4 linked regions of the Tamandua tetradactyla genome follow. The protein of the gene in region 3 purifies or fractionates together with the protein of the main gene of each other region. This does not show direct contact. Links are inferred from orthologs where the notes say so. Each region holds a gene or a part of one and is shown on either strand. Other genes may lie near its edges.

The links.
Region 1: the proteins of HDAC2 (region 3) and DDX5 purify together in Homo sapiens (affinity purification with western blotting; 3 studies listed by BioGRID, with this or other methods). This does not show direct contact. The link is inferred for Tamandua tetradactyla from reciprocal best matches to the Homo sapiens genes HDAC2 and DDX5.
Region 2: the proteins of HDAC2 (region 3) and ZMYM3 purify together in Homo sapiens (affinity purification with mass spectrometry; 6 studies listed by BioGRID and IntAct, with this or other methods). This does not show direct contact. The link is inferred for Tamandua tetradactyla from reciprocal best matches to the Homo sapiens genes HDAC2 and ZMYM3.
Region 4: the proteins of HDAC2 (region 3) and MIER3 purify together in Homo sapiens (affinity purification with mass spectrometry; 3 studies listed by BioGRID and IntAct, with this or other methods). This does not show direct contact. The link is inferred for Tamandua tetradactyla from reciprocal best matches to the Homo sapiens genes HDAC2 and MIER3.

Annotation. Positions count from the first base shown.
Region 1 is NC_135332.1:5,711,792-5,719,819, forward strand, and holds the start of DDX5 (putative ATP-dependent RNA helicase DDX5), read right to left. Parts: upstream 3,169-8,028; 5' UTR 3,145-3,168; coding exon 2,978-3,144; intron 2,644-2,977; coding exon 2,478-2,643; intron 2,135-2,477; coding exon 2,038-2,134; intron 1,958-2,037; coding exon 1,824-1,957; intron 1,703-1,823; coding exon 1,637-1,702; intron 1,412-1,636; coding exon 1,270-1,411; intron 1,193-1,269; coding exon 1,032-1,192; intron 594-1,031; coding exon 421-593; intron 1-420. Other genes in the region: CEP95 (centrosomal protein of 95 kDa), read left to right, coding at 4,955-4,973, 6,357-6,485, 7,749-7,856. UniProt on the Homo sapiens protein: Involved in the alternative regulation of pre-mRNA splicing; its RNA helicase activity is necessary for increasing tau exon 10 inclusion and occurs in a RBM4-dependent manner. Binds to the tau pre-mRNA in the stem-loop region downstream of exon 10.
Region 2 is NC_135353.1:100,364,668-100,372,201, reverse strand, and holds the start of ZMYM3 (zinc finger MYM-type protein 3), read right to left. Parts: upstream 3,306-7,534; 5' UTR 3,231-3,305; intron 2,920-3,230; exon of another isoform or gene 2,780-2,919; intron 2,025-2,779; 5' UTR 2,006-2,024; coding exon 1,339-2,005; intron 336-1,338; coding exon 292-335; intron 1-291. UniProt on the Homo sapiens protein: Plays a role in the regulation of cell morphology and cytoskeletal organization.
Region 3 is NC_135331.1:172,998,318-173,006,204, reverse strand, and holds the start of HDAC2 (histone deacetylase 2), read left to right. Parts: upstream 1-4,769; 5' UTR 4,770-5,021; coding exon 5,022-5,073; intron 5,074-7,887. UniProt on the Homo sapiens protein: Histone deacetylase that catalyzes the deacetylation of lysine residues on the N-terminal part of the core histones (H2A, H2B, H3 and H4).
Region 4 is NC_135335.1:103,570,349-103,578,173, reverse strand, and holds the start of MIER3 (mesoderm induction early response protein 3), read left to right. Parts: upstream 1-4,637; 5' UTR 4,638-4,652; coding exon 4,653-4,661; intron 4,662-4,738; exon of another isoform or gene 4,739-4,758; intron 4,759-6,114; exon of another isoform or gene 6,115-6,116; coding exon 6,117-6,141; intron 6,142-6,589; exon of another isoform or gene 6,590-6,862; intron 6,863-7,825.

The sequences.
Region 1 (8,028 bases), on a different chromosome or scaffold from region 3:
GGAACAAAAGGAAAAATGTAAATTGTAAAAGTTCAGTTACAGCCCCCAAATTTATGGCTAGTGAAGCATTAAATTCAATTTATATGGTTACAAGTCAAAGAGAAAATAGCTGTCTGATCGCTTAACCATCAAGCAAAATTCCATCCCTGGTCCCTTAAGCAGACCACAGGGTAGGAATTCATTTTCCTATAAAAATGCTATAGTGAAAAATTATTTGAAAGCTGCAAAGCAATTCCAAAAGAACTGACAGACTAGTTTTAAGCATATTCAGGTTCCACCCAACTGAAAATCACTTTTAAGACCATAACAAGATTGTTTTCGTTCTTTTTTGAAATACATTATAAAAAAAGATATATGAACCAGTCCTCAATTACGTAGAAAATTGTTTTTAAAGTCAATTAAGACTTATGAAAAACTTACTTTTCATCCTTTTCTACATCATGACACACATCCACAATCTGAAGAATATTGTGGTTTGCACTCAGTTCTAGTGCACCAATGTTTATATGGATATAGTCTTTTAGGAAATCTTCAGCAAGCTGTCTTACTTCTTTTGGCCAAGTCGCACTCCACATTAGGGTTTGCCTATCAGGCTTAACAAATGTGGGTTAAAAAAATTAGTATCGTAACTTTTTCAAAAAGTTAAATTTGAAATGATAACATATTTAACAACACTTATAATGATATAGCTTTTCAAATGACTATGTGATTGTGAAAACCTTTGATGTTCCTTTTATCTACAGTATGAACAAATGAGTAAAAAACGTATGAAAAAATAAATAGGGGGGAACAAATGTTAAAATGAATAGATAGAAATGTCAATGAGAGGGAGGAGTAAGAGGTATGGTATGTGAGTTTTTTCTTTTTCTGGAGTGATGCAAATGTTCTAAAGAAATTATCATGGTGATGAATACACAACTATGTGATGATACTGTGAGCCACTGATTTGTACACCAAGTATGAAATGTTCGTTATGTTAAAAATGTTTGTTTTTATATGTTCTTAGGTGAATTAAAAAAAAAAACACTTACTCTTATCTGATCCACTATCTTCCTTATTTGGGGTTCGAAGCCCATATCAAGCATCCTATCTGCTTCATCAAGGACAAGGTAGGTGGTTCTTCTCAGATTGGTTTTCCCACATTCTAAAAAGTCGATCAGTCTTCCAGGTGTTGCAATACAGATTTCCACACCTTCAGTGAAACATAAAATGTAACCACCAAACACGTAACTTTTAGCACCAGTAACAACAAGCTTTTCTATTACATACCTCTCTCCAAATCACGTATTTGTGGTCCCTTGGGAGCACCGCCATAGATGCAAGTAGACTTTAAGCGACACGCTCTACAGTATTCAGCAGCTACTTGCTGCACTTGTTGGGCCAGTTCTCGAGTTGGTGCCAGCACCAAGCACTAAGGAAAGAAACAGCTTTCAGCATAAGACCTAGATCCCTAGTCTTAAACTGCTAATTTATAAGCCTTACACTAGCAGACATGATTTCTTTCTTCCAAATGTGCAATTTCCCAAAATGTGACAATTGTGAGATTACTATTCTCTCTACATATAAAACCACAGAAATTATCCTATCTTTGCAACTCAGTTACATTTCTAACCAAATTAATGGACTATATACTTACAATAGGCCCATCACCTCTCTCCAGGAATGGCTGATGATTGATGTGGACAATGGCAGGAAGCAAATACTATGTGGGAGGAGGATGAAGAAAAACAGTTACATTTAAATATTCTTTGTTCCCCCTTTTATTCTGAATCCACTTTATCTAGCATATTTTAGAGAACACTCCAAAGTGTTCCCAAACTTACAGACAGTGTTTTCCCAGATCCAGTCTGTGCTACTCCAACCATATCCAATCCACTTAGAGCAACTGGCCATCCCTGAGCTTGAATAGCAGTGGGCTCAGTAAAGTTCTGTCTTGCAATCACATCCATGACATTTGCTGTAACCAAAGGTAGCAAATTTAGTAAAAATGTTACACCAAGAGAAAGTAAAGATGACAAATTCAAAACTAACACTTACCAGGGAAGTTTGCTTCATAAAAGTTCAGAACTGGTTTTGGGCAGTTGTGACCTCTGACTGTAACTTCCTTGCTTCTTCTGTATGCCTCTACCTCTTGCTGAAAGACACGTAATTAGTGTACTCGAGTAAGACTCAGCATAACCTCTCCCCTAAATATATAACTGTAAGCCCCTAAATTTATAAACTACTTTTAGTGGCCTTGATTTTCAACCTAGATCCACATGAAAACCTACAAAGCACAAGAATACATATTTTATCAAATAACCATTCTAACTAGAAAATTCAAAGCAACCTGTTCCCAGAAATGGTTCACACCTCTTTCCTAAGCTGGAAGCCAGAAAGTATGAATCTCCCTAGATTTGCAAGACACTTGTGTCAGATTCTGACTTATTGTAAGTCAGAATTATATCCTAATAACGAAGCCAAATGAAATCACTCACCGCTGTGCGCCTAGCCAAATCAGGGTGTTCTTGATAAAAATTCTTCTCAAATTTTGGCAGCTCATCAAGATTCCACTTCTTTTTAACTAGTTTCTCCCCAGGGTTTCCAAACTTTTTTCCAGATAGGGGCCCTGCCCTACTTCCTCCAAATCGAGGCGCACCAAACCTGAAAAGAAAAAGTTTGTAATCAAACATTTGTATTTTTATGCAAGTTTACCATTCCATGGCACACACTAAGGATTATTCAACTTTATTCAAAGCACCTGTGTGTCATACAAAACCCATTACTGCCCTTAATGATAGTCACTCAACAGTCAGTTAGTTAACCCTAAATCTTATTTCTTGTCGTCCCCTGTACACCTCATTAAAGCCAGGAACAGTAAGCAAACCATAATTTATGAATAAAATCGGAAATTGGATGCTCAAATTCCACAAATACAGATTACTAAGATAGCAATCTAGGATAGACAACAGCTTGTGGTTAAAATCTTTCCCACAACCTTAAAAACGAAATCTCCATTTCGGAGATAAACGATAGAAGAGGAGCCTTATTTCTACAGCTGTTTCCAAGCAAACGGGCTTTGGCTTTAAGAATGGATGACGCAACAGCATCGAGAGCAGAACAAGGGGCTCCGGGACATAGCAAACAAACGGAGTTGGGGGGCATCCCGCGGAAGAGCTCTCAATCAAGGTAAGAAAATTACATAACCCAAGAATAAGGAGAAGGAGGAGCCGGCAACTACCGGGGGAGGAGCCCGGCCCGGGCGGAGTCGGCCAGGCGGCGTTCCCGCTGGGGCGGCGCTTCCCCCTTTGTCTCGCATTTCTCTCTGCGCCACATTTTCTCGACGCTGCCATTTTGAGCTCCTCCGCCGGGCGGGGTAACAAAGGCGCCGCCGCCATGTCCGAGGCCGGCATTTTGTACCAGCGGCACAGCCACATGGCTGAATCCAGCAGCGCCGGCCACCCTCCTGTCGCCACCGCCTCGATGGCTTCGGAAACGGCCCCCTCGCTCCCACTGAATTTCCGGATCCCCTCAAACACCTCCCGAATTGTTGAACTAATGACGGCGGATACTTAGTCCGCCTCAAAGCGTCGCGCTTTCCTCCCTTCACAACACAGTCCCCCGAATGCTCATGACAGGCGGAAAATGGCGGAGGTCCGGGAGCCCCCTCCTCCCCTCAAAAAGTGGACCTGAGAACTGTTGACACGCAAATCCCTCATAATCAGATTTGGGTAAATGTCAAAAGGTGCGCAAAGTTAGGAGTGGGGCGGCCCAAAGTTACGCTAGGCAGGGCAAGGTTCCACCCCGCATACCTTGGCCGCTACCCTCCTTGTCCTCCCTTCCCCCACCCGCGGGCCTGACAGGTCGGTCCCACACTCACCCTCGATCCCGGCCGCGGTCTCGGTCACTCGAATAACCCGACATGGCGTCAATGGTTGCGGTTGGTGGGGAACGAACTGGAGAGAATCGGGTGTGGGGAATCGCTGGGGTAGGCTTCCGCGACGGCGAAGCCTTGCGGGGGCGGCGGCGGCAGAGAGAAGTCGATGACAAGACCCAGAGCTGCACAACAAACACCGGGGGAAATGAATGAGGTACCGGCCGCCTCCCGGCAGCCGGTTTTATAGTCTGGACCGCCTCCGCCACCGCAAAGGACACTGGGAACCGCTCTGTGACCTAGTCGCCCCGCCCCCTGCGCAGAGGCCGCAACGCCCGCGGCGTTCCGGAATCCGCCATATTCTCACCCTTCCCCTTCCACTCCCCCCTCCCCCCCACTCCGGGATCCCTTCCTTGTAGCCGCCGGTTTTTTCGTTCCTTTCACGTCCGGGCCCACCAAACGCTGGGGGTCCGCATCCTACACTCTCTTGAGTTCCCCTTTTTCTCGTCTTTACATATCTTAAGCAATCCACCCCACCCTTTTTCAGGTCCAGCCTAGAGATAAGGCGGCCAGGTCAGGCCAATCCGCTCTCCCCACTTGTAGATGTTTACGTCCCCAGAGAGCCTCCACGCCCTTAACCAATGGACGGAAAGGCGGAGTCTGATATTGTCACGTGGCTGCTCCCCGCCCACCGGCTGAGCCGACGGCACTACTTTCCAACGGGCGTCAGCGGAGGGATACAAAACGAACTACTTCCGGAAATGCCGTTCTAATTCCCCAGGGCACCGGCCAAGACCCGTGGGCGATCTGGCCTGTCGGTTCCACTCACTTAAGAATCCCTCAACTGGACCTCGCTGACGGAGAGTGGAATCTAGATCCTGCAAACCGCCGCCTAGGCTCGTGATGCGAAAGGAAGTGCTCCTCTAATGACCAATCAGCGGCGAGAAGCCGTTCTAACGTCCCTCCCTCATTCACCTCTTCTTTTCCGCACTTTCCTTTCGTTCTCCCTCCCTCGATATCTGTGTGTGCGCTGTGTGACCCTCTCAGGACACTGTCCCCGCGCACTTGGCTGCAAGTCCTGCGACTCCCTTCCTCCGCGACATGGCTGGCTCGGAGGCTGGTGAGTCTCGGCCAGGACTTTTGCTTTATGTGGACTGAAGCCACCCAACTACCCGAACGCCCTGTCCATTTTATCTGGAGGGCAGGGGCCGGGGTGAATCTTGGTCTGGGCTGAAAAGCGGAGCTCCTGACTGTTAGACACCCCCTGGCAGTCCGCGGTCCTTTGAATAGGGTCTCCTAGACTAGTTCCGTCACCGTTTAGAGTAGCGGTCTGAGGTGGAGGAGGGCATGGTCTGTGGCGAGGCCGGTAACACACCCGTATCCAGGTTACGAAAGAGCAGTCAGAAAGGATCTTCCCCGAATCTGTATTTCTCTTGAGTGTCTTTTCACTGCCAGTGTGCTTTGCGCTCTTGCATTGTGGAGACTAAGGCATTTGAATTGAACTTTGGAGGAATAGCACTCTTAAGTGCTGTTGATGCCCCGCCAAAGCTAGAATAATGTTTTGTTTTTTCTCTTCACTGCCCTCTGGAGAGAGTTAACGGCTTTGTCTAGCATCGGCTTCTGAAACGCATATTGCTTTGGTTGTTTAGGACGCGTTCATCCTTTTCTCCAGGACAGCGTACAAACCACTCCCAATAATGCGCGTTTGTTTCCAGAACATGCTAGAGATATATCTAATGAGGAGTAAAAGTGCTTTCCAGTTAATCGCCTGTCATTTCAGGCAACAAGAGTTTCAAGCCTTCTAAGTGGTCGAGAAACACTTGAGCTATTTTATTAATGCCAGCAGTATCTGGGAGGAGCGGTACAGCATGCAGGGAGCTACAGTATTGGTAATGTGCTGGTTCGAGGTTAGGTCGTGGATACAGGAATGTTCTTATGTATTGCCCATATTTTCTTTCGGATACGTTAAATCTGATAACCCAAAGCAGTAGTGGTGGTGTTATCATTACTCCAATCTTTAACAGTCTAAATTAATCACTACTATTTGGGCACCGGAGAAATCCTGACTTGCGCAAAATAATTGAGCCAAAAACACGTCCAGAACTGTTGGGAATTTGAAGGCACATCCATTAATTACTTTCGTTAACAGACCGTCTTGTTTTTGCCGTATCCCGTTTACTTGTTAATGTGTGTTAACTTAAACACCTATTATAAAATAAAATCCACTGATAAATAACCTAAGGTCTTAGGTTGCAGCAGCGAAAGTTGTGTTTGCATCGTAGTGTTGATTACATTGAAATTACAGCTCTCTGGAAGCCATCATAAGAAATTGCTTTTCAAAAGTCTCGTCTAGTAGGGTCTTTGAAGTTCTTTAACAAATTTCATGTCTTCTAAGGAATTCAGTGTTTGTATTGCTGGGGATTTGTTAGGTTTTTTTTTAATGTATGTGTATTTGACTTTTTCTAGTACTCGAGGCTGATCTTTTCCTTTCCTTTCCCAACAGAGTGGATAACTATTGCAAATAATCTCCTTTCAAAATGTCATATACATCTGAGGATACATGAACTTGAAGATTGTGATGCCGAAGTTTTTATTGCTCTTTATCAATCAATCTTGGGAGAAAGGGTACCAGGTAAGGGTACTAAAAAGCAGGAGTAATTGTGTCTATATCTTCAACTAGAAGTTTCTCATCCCTTTAATTAGATCCTTTGTTTAAAACCTTGTATTTTCTCTTTAGCTACATCTTATTTCTATCTAAATATTGCATTTATCACCTTAATAAATACCTTATGGGACCCACCCATAATAACAACCTTGATTAAATCAGTTGGTTCTCAGTAATCACTCGTTAATCAAATTTCGCCTAATGCCATATGAAAGTCATACCCTTTCTGCAGATGTACCTTCAAAGATTCTAAAATTGAGTAGAGCTCAGAAATTTGTTGGGTCTTTTTACTTAAACATTATTAGAGATGAAAATTGTTGTTTGTACTTTATTAACCTACTTTACCAAGGAGACCGTTAATAAATTCATATGTCCTATCATCTTGTAAGTTGTGACTTGCTCATTTCTTTCGGGGTACCATGTGATTTTTGCTGTATCCCAGGTTGAATATCTCATAGTTTATCCATAGATTCCTCAACTACCTCTGTCTCTTTATGTAGTTTATAACCATTAAGTACTATAAGATCTGAAGTCTCTCTTTCCCATTGTTACAATGAACCAGTACCCTTACTCAGTTCCTGAATTGATGTAATAGCCTGTAGTGGGTGCCTTTGATACTAGTCTCATCCAATTGAGACTCTCTAATTATGTTTGGCATATAGTTATTAGATCAATCTTTTAAAATAATTTATCCTGCCCCAAAACATAGATCTTCTTTTTTCCAGAGGAGAAAATCCAAACTTAACTTGATAGTAAAACCTTTCCATGCTCTTGAGCTGACTTTTTAAACCTTTGTTCCGTAATTCTCGATAGGCTGCTATAGCAGGACATGTAAGAGTCCTTCATTCATACTACTGTTTTTTTTTTTTTTCCTAGTGGTACCCTGGGAAAGTAGCCCACAGTTACAGGTTAAAGTCTCGCCTCATGTCTTACCTTTTTTCTTCCTTTAATAGAATATGAGCATCTCCTTGAATTTAGGAACCCCTCTATCTTCCATTAGCATGGTGCTTGTTGTACGGTATGTATGTATGTATGTATGTATGTCAGTTGAATAGATGAAGATTCTCCTGTGTGGTAATCAGGCTGTGACTTTATCTGGATTTTATACAGTTCTTCTCTTTGGGCACAACCTACTTTTATAGCAGTTGGGTTTATTAAGAAATCTAGTCAGAGATGAATAGATAAAAATTCGGACCCTCATGGAAGCAAAATTATGTCACTTTTTTCCAGATGTCATAGCTATTCCCAAGAGTCAAGAGGATGATGCGCATAATGTGCAAGCAGTGATTGATTCACTGGCCTTGGATTACCTGCAGGTCAGCTTATCTCACATAACAGGTTGGTATATACTAACCATCAGATGATTATGCATTTCATTAAAATAATTTGTTTGATAGGCCCCTAGACATTGTTTACTGAACCAAATGAATAAGCATATGGAATACGCTAAACAGCACCACTGAACTAAGTCAAATGGTATCATTCAGTCAACCATACATGTGAGATTTTA
Region 2 (7,534 bases), on a different chromosome or scaffold from region 3:
CTAATGGGCCAGCTGCACTAGCACTGGGTTGGGGAGGCGGGGGCAAGGTATGGAGATGGGAGGGGGAAGGGGGAGTAGGGACCCTTGGCCCAGCCCTTGAGAGGAAGAAAGAAAAGGAGGCTGGATTTTCTCCTGAAGAAGCAGGAGATACAACAGCTCCCACCCTCCTCTTCACTCCACTCACACACACCCTCCACAAAACAACATCTGGGAGGGAAAATGAAGGGCCTGTCCTTCCCAGAGCTATAGGGATAACCAGACTCCTTCCCCTCCCCTCCCCCACCCCCTCACCCTCTCAGGCGGCTTCTCACTCGCCTTCCCAGTCAGGCCATCTCCTGCAAAGGAAGCAGAAGGTAGCCTAAATCTTGAGCCTGCCCTTGCCCACCCCACCCTGCCCCAACCCCCACCTCCCAATTCAGGGAAAGAACTTACTCAAAACTGAAAGGGAAAACTCGAGTGTCTGTGGCTTCTTGGGGCCCCTCCCCTGGTTACCTTGGGCTCTGTACTAAGGGGGCAGGGCGCAGCTACTCTCTATGAAAACAAAAAGCACCCCTACCCTTCCCATCAGCTTTTCTGTCCTCAATCATTGGGAGTTAAGGAAACACAGATAACACACCTTTCATCCAGAATTTGTTTTACCAACAAAGACAAATGCAACCACCCAACAGCAGCAAGGGGGAAAGGAAGTACAAATGTATGGGTAGGTTCCTCTGGCCTCAGGTGGTTGGTTATATAAAAGCCCTAGGACCCTGGGCACACACAGCCTGGGAGAGGAACAGGACTAGGCCAAACAGGGGAGGAACTGGAGCTTCTCACGTTCAGGCTGCCCCTCCCACATCAGAGACACACTCTACATTTCTACCATTCTCCTGAAATCTTTATGCTCTTGGTGGCTCCAGAATCTAGTTGTCATTCATCAAACCCAGAAACCCCACTCCCATTTAGAATAAAACAGTTGCAGAGATCTTAGAACCAAGAAGCCTATTTTCTTCCCTAAATCCTGAGGGATGGATCCTGGCACCAAAAGCCCATTTGAGTAATAATAAAAGGGAACATCTCCCATCAAAACCACTCCCCCCAACCCACCACCCTGATACCTCACCCCTATCCCTCCCTCCACACCCCCTGTGCTTCCCCTCACCCCTACTTTCCTTCCTCTTCTTCACCACATCCCCACTCCTCCCTCCCAAACCTCCGCCTTCTTACCCCCTCCCACACCTCTACTCTTCCCTCTCCATTCTCCTCCTCTCCTGCTTCTTCCCCCAAACACAGAGCCACTCCTCCTTACACCCACCCTCTCTGCCCAGCCTCAATTCATCATCTGATTAGGCAACCTACCTGGCAAGGAAGGGTGTGCAGGGGGGCTGGGGCCCCTAGGTTTGGTCTGAGAACCGTTGATTCCATCCCCCAGAGTCTCTCCCACTGAAGGACTGGGGGGGCCATTGGGGCTCTGTGGCTGCCCTCGGGGAAGCTCCTCCTCCTGCCCAGGGGGATCCCTTCTCCCTGTAGTAATGGAACTGGTCTCCTCCTCTTCAATATGGGGAGACTGCAGGGTTATTGGAGAATCTGGGGCCAAAGGCTCTAGTAGCCCCTGGGGAGAAGAGGGGTTTGCCCCAGTCCCTGGGTCAGGTGGCACCACCTCAGGGGTCTGGCCCCCTGGTCCAGGCTCTAGGGTCTGATCCCCTGCATCCCACGCAAGGGTCCCCTCAGGACCATGGTCCACTTCTGGGGGTGAGGGGGCTTTATAGAGCAGCCCCCCCAGCCCCAGCAGCTCAGTGGCTCCACCTAGGACTCCAGGGTCTTTTTCCAGACCAGCAGGGGTATCAAGCAGGTCCAGGGCTCCAGAGGATGGAGAAGGGCCAGGGGGGACCCATCCTCGAGTCGGGGCAGTCTGGGATTCCAGCAGATCTTCTCCAAATTCCATGTCCACTGGAAGGTCTCCAGCCAGGGGTTTCTCTGGCAGGGTCAATGGGTCAAATGGACTGGGGAAATCACTGGGGTCCATGAGGAAGGCCGGATATGGGCTGGAGATCAGGGGTACAACAGAAGGCAAGTAGAGGTGGTCTTAGCCAGAATTCCTTCTCATGGAGGCTCTGAGACACACCCCAACATCCACTTGGATTTCACATGAACAGCCCCCATCACCACAACCAAAAAGCATTTCCACAGGCTTTAGTCCAAAAGACCACTCCCCCCCTCCCCATACAGCGCCCCCTGTGGGGAGAGGCGTTCCCCGCCCTGGCCCTGTGCCCACACTCAATAAGCCAGTGGGTCATTCAACCGCCCGATTGCAACCCCCACCCCCGACTGCAACTCCCACTTCCCCTCCCCCCTTACCTTTCAACCCCCCCCCCCAACTCGGCCTTAAGAGTCTCCTAGGGCCTTCGCCACCCGGAGGCTTTCCCGCCCCCGCGATCTCAGTTTCTATTTCCTTCCCATTCCCCTTAAAGCCCCCCCAGCTCCCCAGTCTTTACCCACCCTGTCTAGCCCCACCCCCCCTCCCCGCGTAGCATGGTCCTCCCTTGGCCCTTCCCCCGCCCCCACAAACTGCCCTTCCTAACCCCTCCCCCCCAATTACCTTTCAGGGTCGCCCACTTCCTCAACCCCGTCCCCTTTTCCTATTGCTCCCCCAGTCCTCCCTTCTCCTGTTGCCCACCCCCCACCTCAGGCATTTACAGGAAGACATTTTGGAGCTACGATCTCTCCTTAGACCCCCCTCCCGGCTACTGCGAGCTCCCGCCTGCAGGTTCGGTTCGGCTGGATCAGGCCCGACCCCTACCTGCGGCAGGGTTAGTGTAACCGCTACAAGCCTAGAACTGCAGACAGCGATGGCCCCGCGCTCCTTCTCCACCTCCCTCCCTAGCAGCCGGGACAGGGGTCGCGGCCCCTTTAAATGGCAGCGCCGCTCACAGCGCCCAGCGCTCTGCACCAGGCGGGCGGGCGGCGCCAGCAACCAACCCCATTGGCTGGCTCGAGGAGGGGGCTCGCGAGACAGCGCCGGCCCCCGGCGCGAGACTCCCAGCCCAGTGGCCGCCTGGAAATTGCGGAGTGGAGTTTGGTCGTTGGAGATGGAGCTTGAGCCCCCGCCCGGGGCCCCGTTAGTTGAGCAGGAAAAGATAGCCTCTGGAGCTTTGAAGCCCGCCCCCGGGAAAGGCGTCGCCCCCTTTTCACCAAGGGGCCGAGTACACTAACCCACAGAAAACACAGATCTACGCACCTGCTTCCCTTACCTGGCCCAAGAGTCTGGCCCCCGTCACACCCGTGCCCGCCCTACCTCCTGGAGCCCACTCTACCCGTGATCCCCTCCTCTCATTCAAATGGTTCCCGGTCCCCTCCCCCTCCCCGTGTCTCTCTTCTCTTCCCACTCGTGTTCAACCCTCCGGCATCCGCCCCCCCTCAACAGTCACTACCTACGCCATGCAGCAGGCGCCTGCCAAGCTTACCCTCCCCCCATCCCCACCTCTCCGGGGCCTGCCCCCGGGGCGACTGTTGGGGTAATGAGTGACAGCAGAGGGTGGAGGGAGGCAGGGACCCAGCCTTCACGTGCCCCTCCTCCCCTTGTCTACAGCCTCGGGCCCCCCTAACCAGTCGAAGGGTCGTAGTTTTGAGGCGTCTTAAGCTTGGTCTCCAGCCACCCCGGGCGGGTTAAATGGCTCTGGCTCAGTGTCAACGCCTATGCAGTGACCATTATTGCTGATGCCCCCCAAATCCAGGCCCTGCAAAGACACCCCCCCCTACACACACACACACACACTCCCTCAGCGGTCTTAGGGTAAGTTCTAGGATCTTCTTCCTGAGTCCTCCTACAAGAGCTCCCTGCATTATCTCTGGAATAGTTTTTCTCACCAGGGCCGATAGCCCTCCTCCCTCCCTTTCTGTCTCCCGTCTGTCTGTCTTTTGCTTCCACTCTTTCTCCCTCTCTCTTTCTGTCCTTGTCTGTCTCTTTTTGCTCTCTCTCTTCCTCGCGCGCGCTCTTTCTCTCTCTCTCTCCCCGGTCTCTTTTTGTCTCCGTCTCTGTCTCTTCTATGCACGAGCTTGCATGCGTGTAAATACACACGCACTCACACACACACGCTCCCCCCTCCTGGATGGTCCTTAACATGTGGGTGTGGCTGAGGTTGAGGCTAGAGAGGTGGGATGGGGGGAGGGGGCACTAGCCTTAGGCCAGGGCTTTAAACAAGTGTGCAAGGATCCTTTCTCAGTCCTCATTATAGTTAGAGCACTTTACAATCCCTGCTTCTCACCTTTCCTCCCCAGCTCTTAAGGGGTATTTAATAGCTGAGATATTGGAGGAGGCTCCTGCTGGAAGGGAGTTCAGCCACAGAACTTGTAGGCTTGGTGGCTGGTATTGAATACTGTAGCCTGACTCTTTGCCCTCGGGACTTTTCTCCTTCCCACCCTAAGCCTCTCCTAGCCTTATAGTCCTCCCAAGTTTTATCCTCCCTTTACTCATCCGCTTTTCCAGAAACCTTATCCCTCCCAGTTCCTCACATGGCCTTGAGGTTATCTTTGCTCTTTCCTATATACATATAAAGACAAAAGCAAAAGCTTTTTTTTTCCTTTTAAATTTCACAACTGCAGCTTTCTCCTTATCTCAATCAGTGTTCTGTGTACCCATCTCCCACCTTCTGCTTATTTCTATGTCCTTGTGCCTCCCTGTTGTTTTTCAGTTTGTTCCATCTCAGTTGGGCCACCTAGTTCTTTTGTATTATCTGTGTTCCTCATGCTTGGATCCTTTGCTGTTCTGGTTGTGGAGAGTGCTTTGTCACTAGCTTTCAAGTTGAGAGGAGAAAATGGAAGGGCAGTTAATGGTGTATTATTATTTCTAGAGCTGGTGTGGTGTATAAAGTGCTTGAGTTCTAGAGTCAGCTAGACCAAAATTCTAATCTCAACTCAGCCTGCTTTCTAGCCAGATAACTTGGGACAAGTGACTTGTCAAGTCACTGGGGTTTACTTTTCTCATCCTTAAACAGAGGTGAGGAAACAGTCTTAAGTGTCCAATAATAGGCACTAGGTTAAATCAATTTAGTTACTGTCATGCAATGTATGTCATCATTAACAACCACATTTTGAAAAACCAATTACATGCAAAAATACTCATAGAATATTAAATGTCAAAAAGGAGTTAAAATATCCTAATTTTATAGAAAAAAATCTATTTTTACCACGTATGCATACGAAATGACTGGAAAGAAATACATCAACATTTTTAGAGTAATTATGTGTGGTTGGAATATATATGAGTTTAAAAAATAGTTTCTTGCATTGCTTCTCTTTATTTTCTAAATTTGTCTACTAACACATATTGCTCTTATAATCAGGAGAAATATTAACATTTTAAAATGAGGATATTAATACCTACTTTGCAGGGTAAAGTAGGAAGGAAGTTTGGAAGGATTAGAAATAATGTGCCAGGCACATGATAGGCTTTCAATAATTTGTTTTCTAAGGAGCCAGTGTGCATAATAGAAAGAGACTTCCTTTTTCAGTCAGAAAGATAAGGGTCCAAATACTGATTCTGTGATTCAGTACTTATGGGACTATTCTGAATGTTAGTTGTCCACAAACATAAAGTGGGGATAATAATACCCATAGGCCTCATATCCATAAAGGGACTATTTTTTTTTTTTAAGTGGAAAGTAATAAAGTGCTGACGAGGATGTATTGGTTCATTGTTAGTGGGAATGTACAATGGTGCAGCACCAGTGGAAAACACCTTGGCAATTCCTCAAAAACTTAAGCATACGGCTACCATATGACCCGACAGTCCCACTTCTGGAAATTTACTTGAAAGAACAGAAAGCAGGAATTCAGACAGATATTTGTACACCAATGTTCATAGCAGCACGAGTCACAATAGCCAAAAGGTAGAAGCAATCCAAATGTCCATCAACAGATGAATGAATAAGCAAAATATGGTATATACATACAATGGAGTATTAGCCTTAAAATAGGAATGAAGTTCTGATGCATGCAAAAACATGGAAGAACTTTGAAGGCATCATGTCAAGTGAAATAAGTCAGACACAAATGGACAGATATTGGATGATTCCACGCATATGAAATAGCTAACAAAACTTGCAAATTCATAGAGACCGAAAGTAGAGTACAGGTTACCAGGGGCGGGGTGGGGAGAGGGGGAATAGGGAGTTGATACCTGATGGGCGAGGGATTTCTGTTTGGGGCGATGGGAAAATTCTGGAAATGGATGGTATGAAGGGAGTGCAACATTATGAATGTGATTAATCCCACTGAATAGTATGCTTGGGAGTGGTTGAGATGGGAAAGTTTATGTGGTATATATGCTACCATACAGGTACAAAAAAACAACTAAGGAAACAATGACAAGTAAATAATCCTGAATGAGGTCTAATAATGGAGGAGTAAAGGCCCAAAAGGACATTACTGAGACATATGAAAAAATTGGAATATACTTATAAGTTTTATCTCAATGTCAAATTCCTTGAAATTGATCATTGTACTTAAGGTGGTTACATAAGTGAATCTCCTTATTCTTAGGCAATATATGTGGGAGTATTAAGTGTTCAAGGAGCTGATATATACAACCTGCTTTCAAAGGTTTAAAAAATAGATAAATGGGTAGATAAATGGACTGATATGCTGAGTGATACAGCAAATGTAGAAGAAATGTTGAAAATTGGTGGATCTGAGTATCTAGGTGTTGGAGTTCTCTGTGTGGGTTTTGTGTTAATTTCGCATCTGTCTTGTAAGTTTGAAATAACTTCAAAACTAAAAGTTAAAGAGTAAAAAAATAATAACTCATAGGGATGCTATTGAGATTAAGTGAGATGTGACCTTTGCCTGACATATAGCAGGTTCTCAATAATGTTGGTAACTATTATCTTTATAAAAGAAACATGTAGCCAAGAGAGATCAAATGGAGTCAAGATGCTATTCTGGAGGTTGCTCTTATGCAAGCTTTAGTTACATAGTGCTAATTGCCATGGTTTGCTAACCCCCAACCAACATCACTCCTGTTGACTCTTAAAAACAACTACGCTCAGACTGAGACTCTATAAAAGTTTCATGCACTAAGTTTGCTTTCCTGGAACCTATAACTCCAGGAGGGTTCTTAGGTCAGATAAATCCTGAAACCCAGAGGGACTAGCCGGTCCAAGATAACCAATTAATTAGAGTCCCCTATTTTTAGTGTCGACCCCTTTCTGAACATGAAAAAGTTAAAACGGGTCTTGTCCAAAGATCCCTATAGATTGGGAGAAGAATCAGAAAAGAAGGAGGAGGTGTAACAGAATAGAGGATTTAACAAATGAGTTATGATTGCTGAATCACTAGTTTTTAAGTATTTTTATTGACAAATATTCACAAATGTACAGTCCATACATGGCGTACAATCAATGGCTCACAATATAATCACATAGTTGTGTATTCATCACCTTGATCGTTTTTAAAACATTTGCATCACTTCAGACTATAAAGTGTTCTAGTTTGCAAGCTGCTGGAATGCAATACACCAGAATGGGACGGGCTTTAAAAAGGGGAATTTAATAAGTTG
Region 3 (7,887 bases):
AAGCACTGTGCAGTGATTGTCACATATGTTATTAATCAATGAAATGCTGGGTCATTATATAGCCAAAACTAATTGTTTGCATGGCACAATAAAAATAAGTCTGTCATGGCTCCATCACTGTTGAGGATTGAATCATGTGCCCCATAAGGATATGTTTAGGTCTTAGTTTGCATTACTGTTTATATAAACCCATTTGTAAATAAGACTTTTAAAGATGATATTATTAATCAGTTGTGGACTCATTTGTGAATAGATCTTTGAAGATCTATTTAAGATGAAGTCAAAATTGAATCACAGTGGACCTAATCCATATGACTGGTATCCATATAAGCAGAAGAAATTAGGGCACTGTGAGACATCCAAAGTGTCATTTAAGTTAGGTCTTGCATTGTGAAGGGGGGTCCCAGACAGAAAAGGGCAACAGGGGAAGAGAAATTCTAGATAGAGGGAATGGCAGGTACTAAGAAACTAAAAAGTATGAATTGTTTTGGGATTGTCCTTAGTTGGCATTCTAGTTTGCAAGTTGCCAGAATGCAATATCCCAGAAACAGGATAGCTTTTAAAAAGGGGAATTTAACAAGTTGCAAGTTTACAGTTTCAAGACCATGAAAATGTCTAAATTAAGGCAAGGCTATAAGAATGTTCAAAGTAAGGCATCCAGGGAAAGATACTTTGGTTCAAGAAGGCTGATGATATTTGAGGTTTCTCTCTCAACTGGAAAGGCAGATGGCAATGTCTGCTAGTTTTCTCTCCAGGCTTTTCCGGGGGCATTTTCTTTCTTCATCTCCAAATGTCTCTGGCTGTGTGGGCTCTGTTGGTTCTATATCTCTAAAGCTTTTTCCAAAATGGTTCCTTCTTAAAGGGCTCCAGTAAGCAACCCCATTTTGAATCAGTGGAGACACATATCCATGGAAACCATCTAATCAAAAGTTATCAACCACAATTGGATGTGTCATACCTCCATGGAAACAATCAAAAAGACTCCACCCAGCCATAATGAATGAGGATTAAAAGATATGCTTTTCTGGGCTACACAACAGACTCAAACTGGCACAGTTGATGTGTCTGGAGTTTCTAGTGTATGGTTACAGGTGTTAAACATGCACTTGGAAAGATTTCCTTAAATACAGGAGTATTGATTAGACGCAGAAAGTTATTTACATGAAAGTGGGAAAGATGAATCAGAGATCAAATACAAAGTTACTGAAATTATTTAGAAGGAGATACTGAGGGCTTGAACAAAGACCTTGCTAAACATGAAGAAGAGGCAACTCAAAGACAGATTCAGGAGAAAGAACAGGATTTGGTAACTATTTAGACTGGGCTAGATGGATTAGCGTGGGAATGAGAGATCATGAGGAAGGTATTTCAGGCATTTGGATGTTTGGTTTTACCATTAACGGAAAAACGAATCCAAGAAGAAGAGATCTGACAGAAGATAATGGCTTTGTGTTTTGGTCACGTTGACTTTGGGATGACCACAAGTCATCCACCTTCAGACATGCAGTGAGCTAAGCATAAGAGAGAGGTATAGGCTGGAAATTATGACTCACAGTCAACAGCGAACAGTCACTGAGTGGGTTAGACAGCACCAAAAGAGTAAGCTCCAGTGGGAAAAGAGGGTCCGGGACTCTGGAGAGCAATATTTAAGGAAGGAAAAGAAAATGAGCAGTCAGAGACAGCAAGGGATGCCAGAGAAATAAATGGGGGGCAGCAGGTTATAGCCCCAATTTGCCAGACTTTAGCAAAGCTTCCCATTTAAAGACTCATCTGTAGAGTTCTAGTGATAGGTGGAATAGAATGAGGACCAGATCGAAAGAACGTTAAGTCTGGGATAACAAAGAGGAATAACTAAGATATGTACACATAGAGTGATTCAGAGACACTAACAAGTAGATTCTACCAAACGTAGTGTGCATGTAGAATTTTATTTAAATAAAGTGTGCAATAGGTGGATACTGTTTAGAAGATCATGGGCAAACCACTCATCAACAATGAACTATAGAATGATTTGAAAGATTTAATAGGCCTAAGTAATTTAGTAGATAACTTGTAGTTCAAAAATATATTTTCTATTAATAGGTCATTTTTAATGTTGTTAAATAAACGAACAGGTCACATAGCACTTTAAGTTTTCATTGTTTGGTGCTGTTTCAGATTTATGAGTTACATCTTACAGTACTACATAAAAATAGGCACTATGCTTCCAAGGAGAGCAGAATTCAGCCTGAAGCTGTACCATACTCCTCTACCTTTTCTAGTACTTTATAAATTGCAACACAGAACTTAACACAAAGAAATATGCATTTCTTTACGATAGTAACAAGTTTATATGAATAATTTTATAGCAACTAAAATTAAACTATCTGCTGCCGTTGGTAGTAGGGTTCAACTTTTACCATAAGCTAAAGCAATCGATTTCCAAACAGTCCTATTTCTAAATCATCCACTTATGTTTAACAGTTCATTTTATTGAATAATTCCAAAGCACTAAACATCTTCAGGATTGAAAACTTCAATTACAGCAAGAACTAAAATATATATATATATATAGTTTAAGGATAAGGATGATAATTAAATACTCATAAAAAGGTTTTGAGAGAGATGAGTTTGGATATGGTGAATGAAGTTTGGAGCTTATCAGTGGGTTTCAATAACTGATTAGATTTAATGACCTAAAGTTTGTTCTAGATGTGCAGGGACATAATTTTCATGGCCAGCTCTTAACACTAGATCCAACTCTTCTAATGCTGCTATCTTAGGGCAAAATCATTTACTTCTACTGTTCTAAAACTATTATATAATAAATAACAAAGCAAGTTCCTCAAGCAATCAAAACACATGTTCAGACTCTTCTCACAATGTCAAGGCTAGGCTTTTTGGATGAAAACAATAACAACAACAGTAGTAATCATAGTAATCCCTTGTATCCACATAGTTCCTCACTGTTTAAAAAGTTTCCATAGTAATTTTCTTTTCTGACCCTCTCAGTATTTATTCGTATTAGGAATCACTCTGCAAGTAATACTATGCCATTTTACAGATAAAGCAATTCAGCAATTCAAGTCACAAAGTCACACAGGCACTAGAGGTACAATTATGACAAGGTAGACATGGTCCCCCTCTACATAGAGCTCTATTCTAATGGGACATTCAGACAAGTTGTAGGCAACATGGATACTGCCAGGGAGCTGGAGGGGCTATAGGGTGCAAGAGGAGTATGTGAAGGGCACAGAGAAAAGACCAGAAGGAACTCAGGGAAGTCTTGAAGAAAGTAAAGTCTCATTTCTAGACCTTACTAGCTTGGCTCTGGGGAGTAACATTAACATCTATTAAATTAACCTATTCCGGTCTCAGAATCCACCAGTTGATTTTGGATTTGATGGAGCAAAACCTAGAAGCCAATATCATGTAATTAACTTTACCTCTAAACCAATGCTACACACACTGTGGTTTCTGTATTAATTGCATTAGTTACCTGGGGTGCTTGATAAAAATACAAGAAAGGGAGTGACTTTTTTAAATCACTTGGGGGTGGGGGTGGGAGGTGAGGCCCAGGAAAATTGCTGCTTTAAGTATGAACACCTTGGGAATTTAAAGTCTAAGCAAAATAAAAGTCAAGTTTTTCCTAGTGGCTCCAACTGGTCCCCACTTCAGTTAAGGCTTCCTTTTTGATGGGGGTGTGGAAGGGACTGTACGCTGTGGGGGAAATTGCCAATGATATCGTTAAGATAAGCGTTACACTGAAAGACTGGTCAATCTTCCCTCCTGTCCCCCCCCATTTGTATGTAATGCAACTCACTTAGAATAGGTGCTGGATAAGTGTGTGTTGATTCAATGAACACGGGGACACAGGTATTTATCACTTCCTGGAGTTCTGAAAGTCCCTTCTTTTACTCTCTGTTCCAATCTTCCAGTGACCAGCCAGCAGCAGAAGCAATCTAATTAGGCAGGGGCATCTAGAATTTGGAGAAAGACTGAGTTCAAATCTCCAGACGATCAGTTAGGACTTGAGAGGACCAAGTTCCTTAATCTGCTCACATCTAAGAAGAAGGACTTACCTCCAGCGTTGCTGGGAATCTTAAATGTGATAATAGGCATCTATTATTAATAGATGTAAATGAAATATATTATAAATGTAAACGCTTAGAACCATGACTCATTCATAAATGTCTCCTATAAATGCTTATTCAACCCCAGGCAGTGTAGTCTTCCCCTGAACGTTTGTAATAGTTCCCCCTGGGCAGTTCAATACTTCATTGAAATTGTCACCAAAAAACGGAAGGATAAATGAGAAGACCGAGACGAGCAGGTACTGGGGCGGTGGGGGGCGGGGATGGGAGCCAAAGCTCACGAAGGTGGTCGCTCCCTTCCGGCTCGCGGCACGTGGTCGAATCGCGCGGGAGCTTCGCGACTGAGGGGGAGGGGAGCGGCGCGGGACGACGCGGACCGGGTCTAGACCGCCAAGACTACGGTTGGGAAGGTATCGACTGCGCAGGCTCGGGACAGGCACAACCACTGTGCAAAGATCTGAGGGGGGGATTGTCACCAGGATCCTGCCTTTACCTATTTGCAGAGGGAAAATTTGCCTCTTTTTTCTAGTTTTGAGCCTGTACTTGGAGCCGCCTTCCGCAAGCTGTTCAATATCAGAAGGAGTTTTATCCTAAGTCTGAAGCGGCCTTTTCCTGTAGGCATGCCCCTTCCCCCCCCCGCGGTGGCCATCGTGGGCACGTCCCACCTCCCCAAGGCCTCCGTAGGTGGTTTGGTCGCCCCCTCCCCCTCCCCAGTGTCGCGAGTTGGTGCTGCAGCGGACCCCCGCTCCGCGCTCTCGGCCCCTTGGCGGGGCTGTACCGACCCCTCCCGGCATCCCCTCTTTCCTCCCTTCGGCCTGCCCTTCCCCACCGGACTGCCACCCCCGCCTTCAACCCAGCCCTTCTCTCTCCCTGCCGGCCCGCGGCGGCAGCAGCAGCAGCAGCAGCAGCCGGAGGAGGAGCCGGAGCCCGGAGGTGGCCGGGGAGCCCATGGCGTACAGTCAGGGAGGCGGCAAGAAGAAAGTCTGCTACTACTACGATGGTGAGAGGTCGGGCCGGCGGGAGGGTAGGCGGGCACGGATGAGGTCGTGGGTCGGTGGCCACCGTCGCGAGTGGGCGCTGGTGTTGGGGAGTGGGAAGGAGGAGGAACCGACGCTTGGCCGCATTTTAACCCTTTCCGGACCCGGCACCGTTGGCGAGAGCGGGTCGACGCCCCGCTTCCCTCTTGCCCCCTTTCTCTGGCTGTGCGGCCCGCCGCCCCGAGGGGCCAACCCCTGGGGCGGCGCGGCCTACCCCGGCTCGTCGATGGTGGCGAGGGGTCGGCTGTCCTCGTGGGACTGGGGGTTTGAGGTTGCCCTGCGCTGGCCTCTGCACCCGACCCCTTCCCCGGGGTCAGAATCTCACCCCGGCCCTGACTCCACACAAAGCCCCGCGGCCGCGGGAGCTCCACCCCCAGCCCCCTTCCCTCCCCCAGTCCCGCCGTCTCTTCCCTCCTTGTTCTCGGTCTCTGCCGACGTCTGGCCCGAGGGTCTCGTTTCTCCGTCTCCGGCCACTCCCGAGACCTGTCGACCCGGGTCGGGGCTTGAGAGTAGTTACTGAGGTTGTGGGCCCAAGTCCGGCCTGTGGCACTCTCCCACCCTTGTTCGGCGTGGACTCCTTCCCTCTTCTTTGTTAACGGGTTGTTTGGGCGCCACTTTCTAAGGATACGAATGAAAGAGCTGCACTTGCTCGATAAACATTAAGGTTTTCGAGTTCGAGGCAGTTAGTCTTCCCGAGAAATAAGAGGAGGTTGTAGAGAAATGTGAAGCTGTTGTTGCTTGTATGGTGCATCAGATTCGATGGGTCCTGACTTGCCTCTGAGGTGGTGGTTACCACCCACTTCTTCGTTGCTCTTTGTTCGGTCAGGAAATAGACCTTCCTTTGGAGGTATAGGAGAGCATTGCATCTTGCTTGTGAAGCCCGTTCCTAGGTGGGACTCCTGGTGCAGGAAAAGTTTGAGGAGCAGTGCGGAAGTACCAAATATCCTCATCAGGTGAACGAGCAACCTCACAGTACAGTGAATTGTAAAAGATAATTTCAGGGGTTCTTAAATTGAAGTTCGAACATTAAATTTGAATCCTATTTCCTGTGCTGGTCTAAATTATATTAAATGGAGTAGTTTCTAGTAGGTTGCTCTTGAGTGAAGGCATTGCAAAAATTAACATAGGAACTAGGAGTCTGTAACAGCTGTTTGTTCCTGGGCTCATCCATGATGAACCTTTGTTGAAGAAATGGGGCAGGCACTGGTCCCAGGGGCAGAATGCAGACTTGATAGGTAAAATGAGACTATTTGAGAGTCCTGTGGTATTTAGTGAATTAATCAATACTTTATTGTAGACCATTCAAACTTCTTTACCAGACAGCCAACAATCACGAATTTAACTTATATAATTTGGAATTCTGTTGGGTTACTTGTCTTTTGTCTGTGGTTCTTAGTTGACTCTTCATCTTTAGAATGGAATTATTTATTGCTTACATTTGAAATATTCATGGAGGGGTCACCTCCCTCTAGAGTTTATGTGTATGTGCCTAATACAATATTTTGTAGAGGTGTTTAAAAGTTGGATAAATACCATTATGTAACTGTGAAACTGTGAATATGTGATAGTATGCTGAGGTCTGCACCTTAATTCCAAAAACTTACATCTTCATTACCCCCCAAAATAACTCTTATAAGGGTAGCAAATAGCAGTTCTTTTTTTTTTTTTTTTTTTTTAATGTGGAGGAAGAGGATTAAATAAAAGTTTCTGTACCAAAGAATTATATGACTGGAGGTATACAGCATGTATTGGATTGGGGGTCAAGTAGTATCAGTACTAATAGGGCCTGAAGAAATCTCCAAGTCTAAATTTTCTGGTTCTAATTTGTTGGTAAAGGAAGTAGAAGGAAGGAAGAAAAATAAAGTGGGAAAGAGAGAACTAGCAAATTCTGTAACCATACATTTAGGCTTACTGGGGACATGGGGCAGGCTGTATGATGAAGCTCTTAGTGACAAAGAAATTACCTTTGCAGTTGTTTGCATCTCAGTGTGACTGATGCCTCTAAAATTATATGCATTTCTCACTATATTTGCGCTCTTCAGTAGAATGCTCTTTAGAATACTAGAATGCCAGTTCCAAGCGAATCATTAGGTATTGATGAAGTATCTTTAAACATTTGAAGAAAAGTAAGAGATCTTACTTCTTTTATTGTATCTATTGACACATACTTTCAAAGTTTCTGAAAACTATTTCTAAAGTCTTCGTTATTTTTCTTACATACTCTAAGATCAATAATCTTTAAAATGATATAGCTAATTACTCATTCCTCCCTAAAATTATGTGGTTTTTATAGTTAAAAATGTTGTTAGCAAATCAAGCTATGTTTGCTTTAATTACAATACACTTTTAATACTTCATCTAGAAATATTGACTATACTTGGTTTTGAATTAAGCTTGAGACCAAGCATATTTAACGTCTCTTCTATGATATATATATAATAGGGTTGCATATATACATAATTTATGTAATTTTACACATTGCTCTGCCCGATTTCCCCCACCAGCCTACTCCATCTGACAGGAGTGCATAATCAAAATGTTTGGAAAACAGTACCAAAGAAAAACACTGACCACTTTGCTCTTAGTTCCTTCGTATTTCACCTTATCAGAGAGGCTTTCTCCAGTTACCCTAGGTAAAACTCAATTAGCATTACTGCTTTATTTTTCTTCCTATAACATTTACCACCCGACTTGTTTCTCTCCCCATGTGTTTTTAAGTCTCTGTATCCCCACCATCTAAATCAGAAAGCTTAATTTTTTAATTTTGGTGAATAACT
Region 4 (7,825 bases), on a different chromosome or scaffold from region 3:
ACTTCAAAGATATGATTCTTGTACAAAGAGTGTTTAAATCCAGGGTATGGGGGAAAACTGCTATTGCATTCTATGAGCTATGTTCAAAAGGAAACCATCAGCACTACCACAGCAACAGCAGAGGTAAATAATGGGGTGAGAGACAAGAGTTAAGAAGAGGTTTAGATTCCCTATTTGGGGAGGGTGTGTTTATTGGTTTTAGGTCTCTTCGCAACAAAGAAATCATCTAAAATTGAAAATGCTGATGGACTGTGGACTTTGGGCCCTCTACGTGATGCCTGATGAATGCAGGTGGCTGAAGGATGCACTGACATAGAAATAGATTGGTGAACTATATACACTTATGAAAGCGTATATACTTCAAACTATACTTATGAAAGAAGGTTGTGCTGCTACGAAAAGGAACAATGTCGTGAGGCATGCAACAAAGTGAATGAACATGTGGGACATTTGGTGATACAAAATAAGCCAGAAACAAAAAAACAACAATGGTATGGTCTCCTTGAGAAAATGCTCATAAGAAAACAGGGGCCTAGATTGTAAGCTTTTAGAACAGACACATTAAGTCCAGAGTGGTGATTATTATTTCTGGACTTTGAGAGGCTGTTTTATATATATATAACCTGATATTTAAGATAAGAACAAAGCTGAACAGGTTGGGGTTAAAGCAATTCAGAATATAGGGGTAAGGAAGACAGTGTTTATATTTTAGAACCACAGATATTCTTTGAGATCAACAGAAGGTTTATTTGATTTGGAACTGAAATTTTCTGTAGCGCAAATCTAATTCAACCTATCTGTATAGCTCATTTGAACAACTGAAAGACAGGAAGCACAGAATAAGAAAGAGTTCCTTTAATCCTGTATAGATTACTGTAAGGCCTGGAAACATCCTAGAATTAAAAAGTATTGGCAAAGTCCCCTGAGGGAAGGGAGAAAGACTATGGAACTATTAAACCTTACCATCAGGGAATCCCCTGATACTATGTCAAACTTTACGGACACCCATATCAATAGGCCATGCCCTCAATCATGGGGCTTGCTATTGTGAAGCTTATGTAGGTAGCATAAAAGCTTAGACTACCTACAGGCATGCCTAAGAGTTACTTCTGGAGGACATCTGTTGTTGCTCAGATGTGGTCTCAGTCTCTCTAAGCCCAACTCTGCAAGTGAAATCATTGCCCACCCCCTACATGGGACATGACATCCAGGGGGGAAAGTCTCCCTGGTGACGTAGGAAAGGACTCCCAAGGATGAATCCAGACTTGGCACCGTGGGATCAATAATTACATCCTGAGCAAAAGGGGGAAAAGAAGTGTAATTAATAAAGTATCAGTGGAAGAGAAAGTTCAAATAGAGTTGAGAGGCTACTCTGGAGGTTGCACTTAAACAAGCTTCAGGTAGACCTTGCTACCTAGCATAACCTGCCAACCCCCAACCAGGACCATTCCAGCCAATCCTAAAGAACACCTACAGCAATATATAAGATTCCACAAGGGTTCCAGACAGTAGAGTACCTTTCCAGAACCCTATGACCTCCAGATAGGTCTCTAGTCCAGATAAGTCCTGAAACCTAGCCCAGCCTCTCCAGAACATCAGATAGCTCCATCTCCCTACCCCATATTAGTGACAGACCCTTTCAATATGAAAAATTAAGAATTGCCATAGCCCAAACAACCCCAAAGAGAGGTATGGAAAGATCAAAGGTGATGGTAGAATTATACATAGAAGATAGGACTTAACAAATGAATATGAATGCTGAATCATTAAATTGATATCCCTTTTAGTCTCCAGTATTTTAGAGCAGCTAGAAGTAAAAACCTAAAATTGTGAAATTGTAAACCATGTCAAACTCTGAAATATGTTCTACAACTAATTGTGGTGCTGTGCTTTGAAATTTATAACTTTTTTGTATATTTGTTATTGCTCACAAAAAAAAGGAAGAAAATTGATTGTGATGATAAAAAAGTATTCAAGCCCTCTAGCCGTCTATGTTTTGGAACAGCTAGAAGGAAAAATTGAGAGATCGTATTTTAGCCCATGACAAACTCTGGGGTCTGTCCTATAACTACTTGTTGAAGAGTGCTTTGAAAACTACTGCATTTTTATTTCTTTGCTTTGTATATGTTATACTATACAATAAAAAAAGTTAAAAAAAAGATGCAAGATCCATTTACATACAGTAAACTTTACATTCTTTATCATAAAAGGAATGTGTTTTGTAAGACTGTGGTGAACATTTTTTGTAGCACCAAAAGGATAAAAGTAGCTCTGCTTTCTTAAACTAGTAATTAATTTAGCTTCATTTATTTTTCTATGAATCTTTAACTCACTGGACACAGATTACATCAACTCTGTACTATGATTGAGTAGATTAGCAGTCAAAGTTAAAAATGCCTATACAAAATATTCTTTACAAGTTAAACAAAAACAATCTGTCAGATTTAGTGCAAGCCCTAAGTGTATTTCTCAGACATAGCTAAATGGGATCTAGACCCCACTATAGATTGAATTACCCAAGTTGTGCTACCAAGAAAACATTTTTCCTAGTGTAAAGAAGGAGGCTGGCTGTTAAGAGACACTTTCTTCCCAATTCTGAGCCAGGTCAGTTTCTGGTCATGCTATGCAGGTCTCTGTTTAATGGCTCTGTTCATAGCACGTGCTGTGCTATCACAGTTCTAAAGTTAATCACTTGCACTTAATTTCAAGTCATTTTTTATGTTGGAAACTGTAAACGCCTCGTTGGGGACAGTACATACAACGCGTGCCAACCCTCTGGTTTCAAAGTTCAGCTGTTTTTGAGTTATTTGACTGGACGAAAGGTCATAAGATATCTTTTGCAGCAGGGAAAGTGTAATTTTCCATGTCTTTATGGTGTTTTTGAAATTGTTGAAGTGATTTTTCTCTAAAAATTTCCATAAATAAATAATTTTACTGGTGGTGGAAATTTAATTTTGAGATGCTTGGCAAAAATTTTTAAAGTAACCTCCTCTCCCCCCACAAAATAGTCTCCAGACCCATCCTCAGTATGAGCCCTGTGGTCAGTTGGGGAAACTGAAGGAGACCCCACAGTTAAAATTCAGAACTTTCAGATTTGGACTACAAGTATGGAAAGTTTTCTCTCAATTTCTGAGATTACAATAAAAATCCTCAACTCTCAATTTAGTATTGAGTAATAATACTAAATCTCAATTTAGTATCAGATATGTAACAGCATCCAGTTGGGAGAATAGATCTAGTCTCTGAGCTCACCCTTCTCTCTACAAAATTATGTAATGCACTACAGGAATTTGATTGTGTTTCACCTCACCTCTACACACACCTTACCGCAGATTTTACTTTTCCACAACTCTCTGGCTTTCTTTGCCACATATATGGATATGTCTGGCCTCCCACCTTAGGAGGACTATGTATGTCTTCCAAATTTGCCAGGGCAACCCAGCATGCAACCTTCACTTCTTGCAGGACCAACCTCTGTGGACCAACCACCAAGGACACACCAGTGCCTGTTTGTGTGTGTCCTTTACTCAAAGCTGTGAAGTGTGGACCCTCCAGGTGTTAGACTTACCTCCCCCAAGGAAGAAGAGCATGTAGCCATACGACAAGAGTGGGAGCAGGTACACCTGTTGCTTTTATCCCTGACTTTTCCTCCCTCTTCCACTGATCCACCTGCTCACAGGACTAGTCCCCTCGTTTGACCCTAAACAAATGTTTGGCCTTTTTGTGGGGAAGAGGGAAGTAGAGGTGTCAATTCAGCACCTTTCATATGCTAGCCTGCCCTTCAACGGGCTATCAAGTGCGTACCTCTGGGTCATCTCCTGGATTATCTGGTAATTAACAACCCCTAGGACTGTTCTTTCTTCGGATGCAGAGCTTTTATTTTATTTGCATCTTCTTTGGAATTGTGCAAGTATGTTCATCATCATTTTTCTGCCCAGTTGATCTTCTGTACTGTTAACTACCTTCCAGAATGTTTGGCAAATGAGCACTTCCACCTTCCACTCCACAACCCTGCTGCATCCCTAATTCCTGGTGGTCCTCCTCTTCTCTTCAGGGAAACCGCAAAAATGCCTGGTCCCTGTCCTTTCATTCTTGACTGATCCTGCGGTCCAGCAGTCCCTTCTCCCATTTCCAAAGCTTCCCCCCGTGCATCAGTCTCCTCCACCGATCTCGCCTCTCCTTACTTAGGGTAGTCTGTCGAGTTGTCCCCTCCGCCGCCGTTCAAGTCTCCAGCCCGTCCACCCCACACCCTGGCCGGTCCCAAGTGTCTGTGGGTCAATTTCCAGTTACACCCGCCCGGCTCTTCGGCCTCGAGTGGCTGGACGTGGGTCCGTCCCGCACCCGTCCGTCTCCCACTTTCCTCCAATTCGGACACTGGTGGCCGGAACTTTCCTCCAGTCGGGTGGGTAAGGGCGGTGAGTGCGGAGCCGGGGAGGCGGCCGGCGGGCGCCAGGGGCTGCGCGGCGAGGGGTCCGGCGCGGTGGGCGCGTGAGCCCGCCGGGGGTGTCGCGGGCCGCCCTGCCCTATAAGGGGCCGAGCCGCCTCCGCCGCCGGGCGGGTGCCGGGCGGACCGCGGCGGCGGCTGCGATTGGCTCAGGCGCCCCATCCGGGGACTGGGCTCAGCGCTGCTCGTTCGCCCTAAAGGTACCAATATGGCGGAGGTGAGCAGGGAAACCGGGCAGGAGCGGCCGGGCTGGAGCGGGCGTCCGGCGGCCCCCGGCGGCTCCCCGCGACCCCAGAGCCGATCCGAGGGTTCTGGTGCGCTACCCGCAGCCTCACGGGGGCCGGCTGAGTGGGGCGGGAGCTACGGGGCGGGGGCGGGCCGCGGCGGGGCCGGCCGGGGGGCGGGAGCGGGCGCGGGAGCGGTCTCCCTCCGGGACTAGGCCGCGGCAGCTCCAGCCCCGGCCAGACTAAGCGACGGGGCCGAGTGGGGGGCACGGACGGCGGCAGCGAGCCCTGGCCCGGGGACGGCGCCATACCGGCTCCCAGGCCGCTGACGCGGGCCGCCGGCACCTCCGCGCTGCCTCCCGGGTCCAGGGTGGGTGGAAACCGACGGAGCCCGGCTCCCTCTTTCCCGGGCCGATTGCAAAGCCGGGAGCTGGCTGCGTCTTGTCCCCGCGGGAAGAGTGCGCTGCGCCCCCGGCCCGCCGGGCCCGGGTTGCGGCGTGAAGGGCCCTCACGCTCCACTTTGCTTCGGGCGCGGAGGCAAGCGGGATGCGCGGCCGCCCTGCTCTGCGGGAGGTGAGCGGGACACCCCGCCCCGCAGCCAGGGAGGTGCAAGAGCCCCCGGGAGTGAGGGGGACAAACCGAGACTCTTTTGCCTTCTCCCGGAGGACGGGTCGGTAGCCCCACTTTCCTTCGAGCTGGAAGGGGAGGCAGGAGAGAAGCTGCCCCGGCCATCTCCCGTGGGACAAGTGAGATGGGGGAGGGGGTGGCGCAGCAGAAGCCCCTTAGTGGGCGCCGGCCCGGCCGAGGGGCGCGCCGGCGGGCCCGGCAAGGGGCTGCACGCCCTGGGGGAAAAACAGTTTGCCAGGGACCTTGGGGCTGCATCTCTGGACTCGGGGAGAGAATGAGGGGCGCGCGCTTTGGTTTGGGGGCCAATGTCGGTCTGCTAAGCCTTACTGCGCTTTGGGGCAGAAGACAGTCCCGGAGTTAGGGGTCCCGGGCCCCAGGGGGCGAACTCAGTGCTCGGAGGGCGAGTCCCTTTAAGGGAAGGGTTTTGCGTTGTGTGGAGTTGGTTTGGGGTGCTGGGAGCCTGGTGGGATTTTGGGGACTCCCCAGATGCCAAGGTGAGAGACCGATGCTGCGATCCGACGGCGCTAGGTTTTGCTTCTTTACTTTGTAACTTCCTGTGCTCCAAAAGGAGGCTTGGAGTTGCTTGTTAGACTCTAGCCTTGGTCCCGGGTCTGCGAGTTTGTACGCTGGGGACTCGGGGAGGAAGGCGAGGCAGCCAAGAGGGGGCCCGAAAGGGGCCGGGAGCATTTGGAGTGAAGCTACGTCTTGCACTTTTGGCAGCTGCGGAGGAGCGCCGGGCTCCGCCTTCTTTGAGCCCTGTTGCCGGCATTGCTTCTTCCCGGGCTGCGCGATCTAACCGCACGTTTTCTTCTCTTTCCTAGGCTTCTTTTGGAAGTTCGAGCCCAGGTTTGTTCTATTTTCTTACCTCTTTGGTGGGTCCCAGCAGGAACCCTCTATATTGGGGGCTCAAAGATTTGTCGTTAAAGGTTTCTCCACAAAAATTTATCCCGCGATTTGTTTTTAAGAGTTTGACTGTGCATTTAGTAGTTAAGTTATTCGAGGAACGAGCAGTTTTATTGTTCTTTTTTTTCCTTGCATGTTTGAAAAATACCTCGTTACAAAGCAGGTAACAAATAACTGCCCTGTTAAATTATGTCTTTAATTCTCACGTATCTTTTTCTCCAAGCCTGAAACAGTTAATCCCCAATCAACTTTCCATTAACTTGAGCAGTTTAGTTTAGATTTTAATTTTGATTTCTTAGAGAGACTGACTCTTTAATAATCAAGAGATGGAAACTTTTAATAGATTAACCACAATTCCCCTTTCCCCTTTATTGCGTCTCTTTTTAAACAGCCAATTGAGAGTTAAGTAAAGCTACCTTATTCAAAAGAAACAGAACTTTCAAGTTTGCACAGAAAAGTGATGATACGGTTTTTGAACTGAGAGTCTTAGATCATCTACAACAGTGTTTGTTTCTTAGTCTTTTGGAAGTCACGGACCCCTGTCAGAATCTGATGAAAGCAAGGGATTCACTCCCCAGAACACTCTACATGTGCATAATTGTGCACATTTGAGGCTTGTTGAACCCCCTGAAGTTGGTCCATAGTAAAGACCTTTCTGCGTGTGGTAAGGACAGCTTTGTTCTAGTTTCTTATACCTGTCCAGTCTCCATTTTGACTGCCTCTTTTCTTTCTCATAATCTGCAGGAAAAAGTATTTCTGAAGTAGTTTAACTCCCTTATTTTATTGTCTAGGAGACAGACTTTTAAATGACTCTGCTGAGAATCCCCCAGTTAATGGCAGAGCCTGGACTATCTCCCAAGTCTTCCATTACAATACGGTGCCTTCCATTTCCCTGGAATACTGCTTTTTGTGTTTAGTAGGCTTTCAAGGCCTCACTTGATTATTATTTAAAGTATTATAAAATAATTAACACCAAGTTGAAGAAATTTGTGGCTATTATAAAAATAGCTATGTCTTTTTGTTTTTTTAATTGTTTTTAAAGTTTCTCTAATTTTGAGATAAACATTTCTTTGTCATTACTGATTTCAGGAAAAGAATATTTATCTAACCATTGCCAAACATCTGGATGATAATGGAATTTTTCCATTTTGCATCATTTTCTGCTGTTAAGTTGTGATCTAAATAAAAAGAAAGAAAAAAGGCAATGCGGTTTTGGTATCTAAACCAAGCTTTATAACCTGTTTTTAATCAATTAGCTGATTTTTTAAAGCATTTTAGAGCTAGAAGGGACTCTTGAGGGTCATTTAAATTAACCCTCTGTATTTTACAATTGAAGAACTGGACCTAGTCCCAGAAAGTTTAAATGACTTACACTGGTCCCACAGACAGTCAGGGACAAAACCAGTAGCCCTCAGGCCCTCCAATTTCTGCCCCTTATTGAATATCTTCCATATGAAGGGGGTGGCCTGCTGTGCCAAGTGATATGAGGATAACAAAAAAATATAACACAGATTGTCCCCAAGTTGGTGGAAAGTCACCGTCTGTTTTGTTACAGACACTTTAACATGCCACAAAGGTTTCCAGTAATTCCTAAAAAAAAAAAAAGTAATTTGTAATGATACATGGT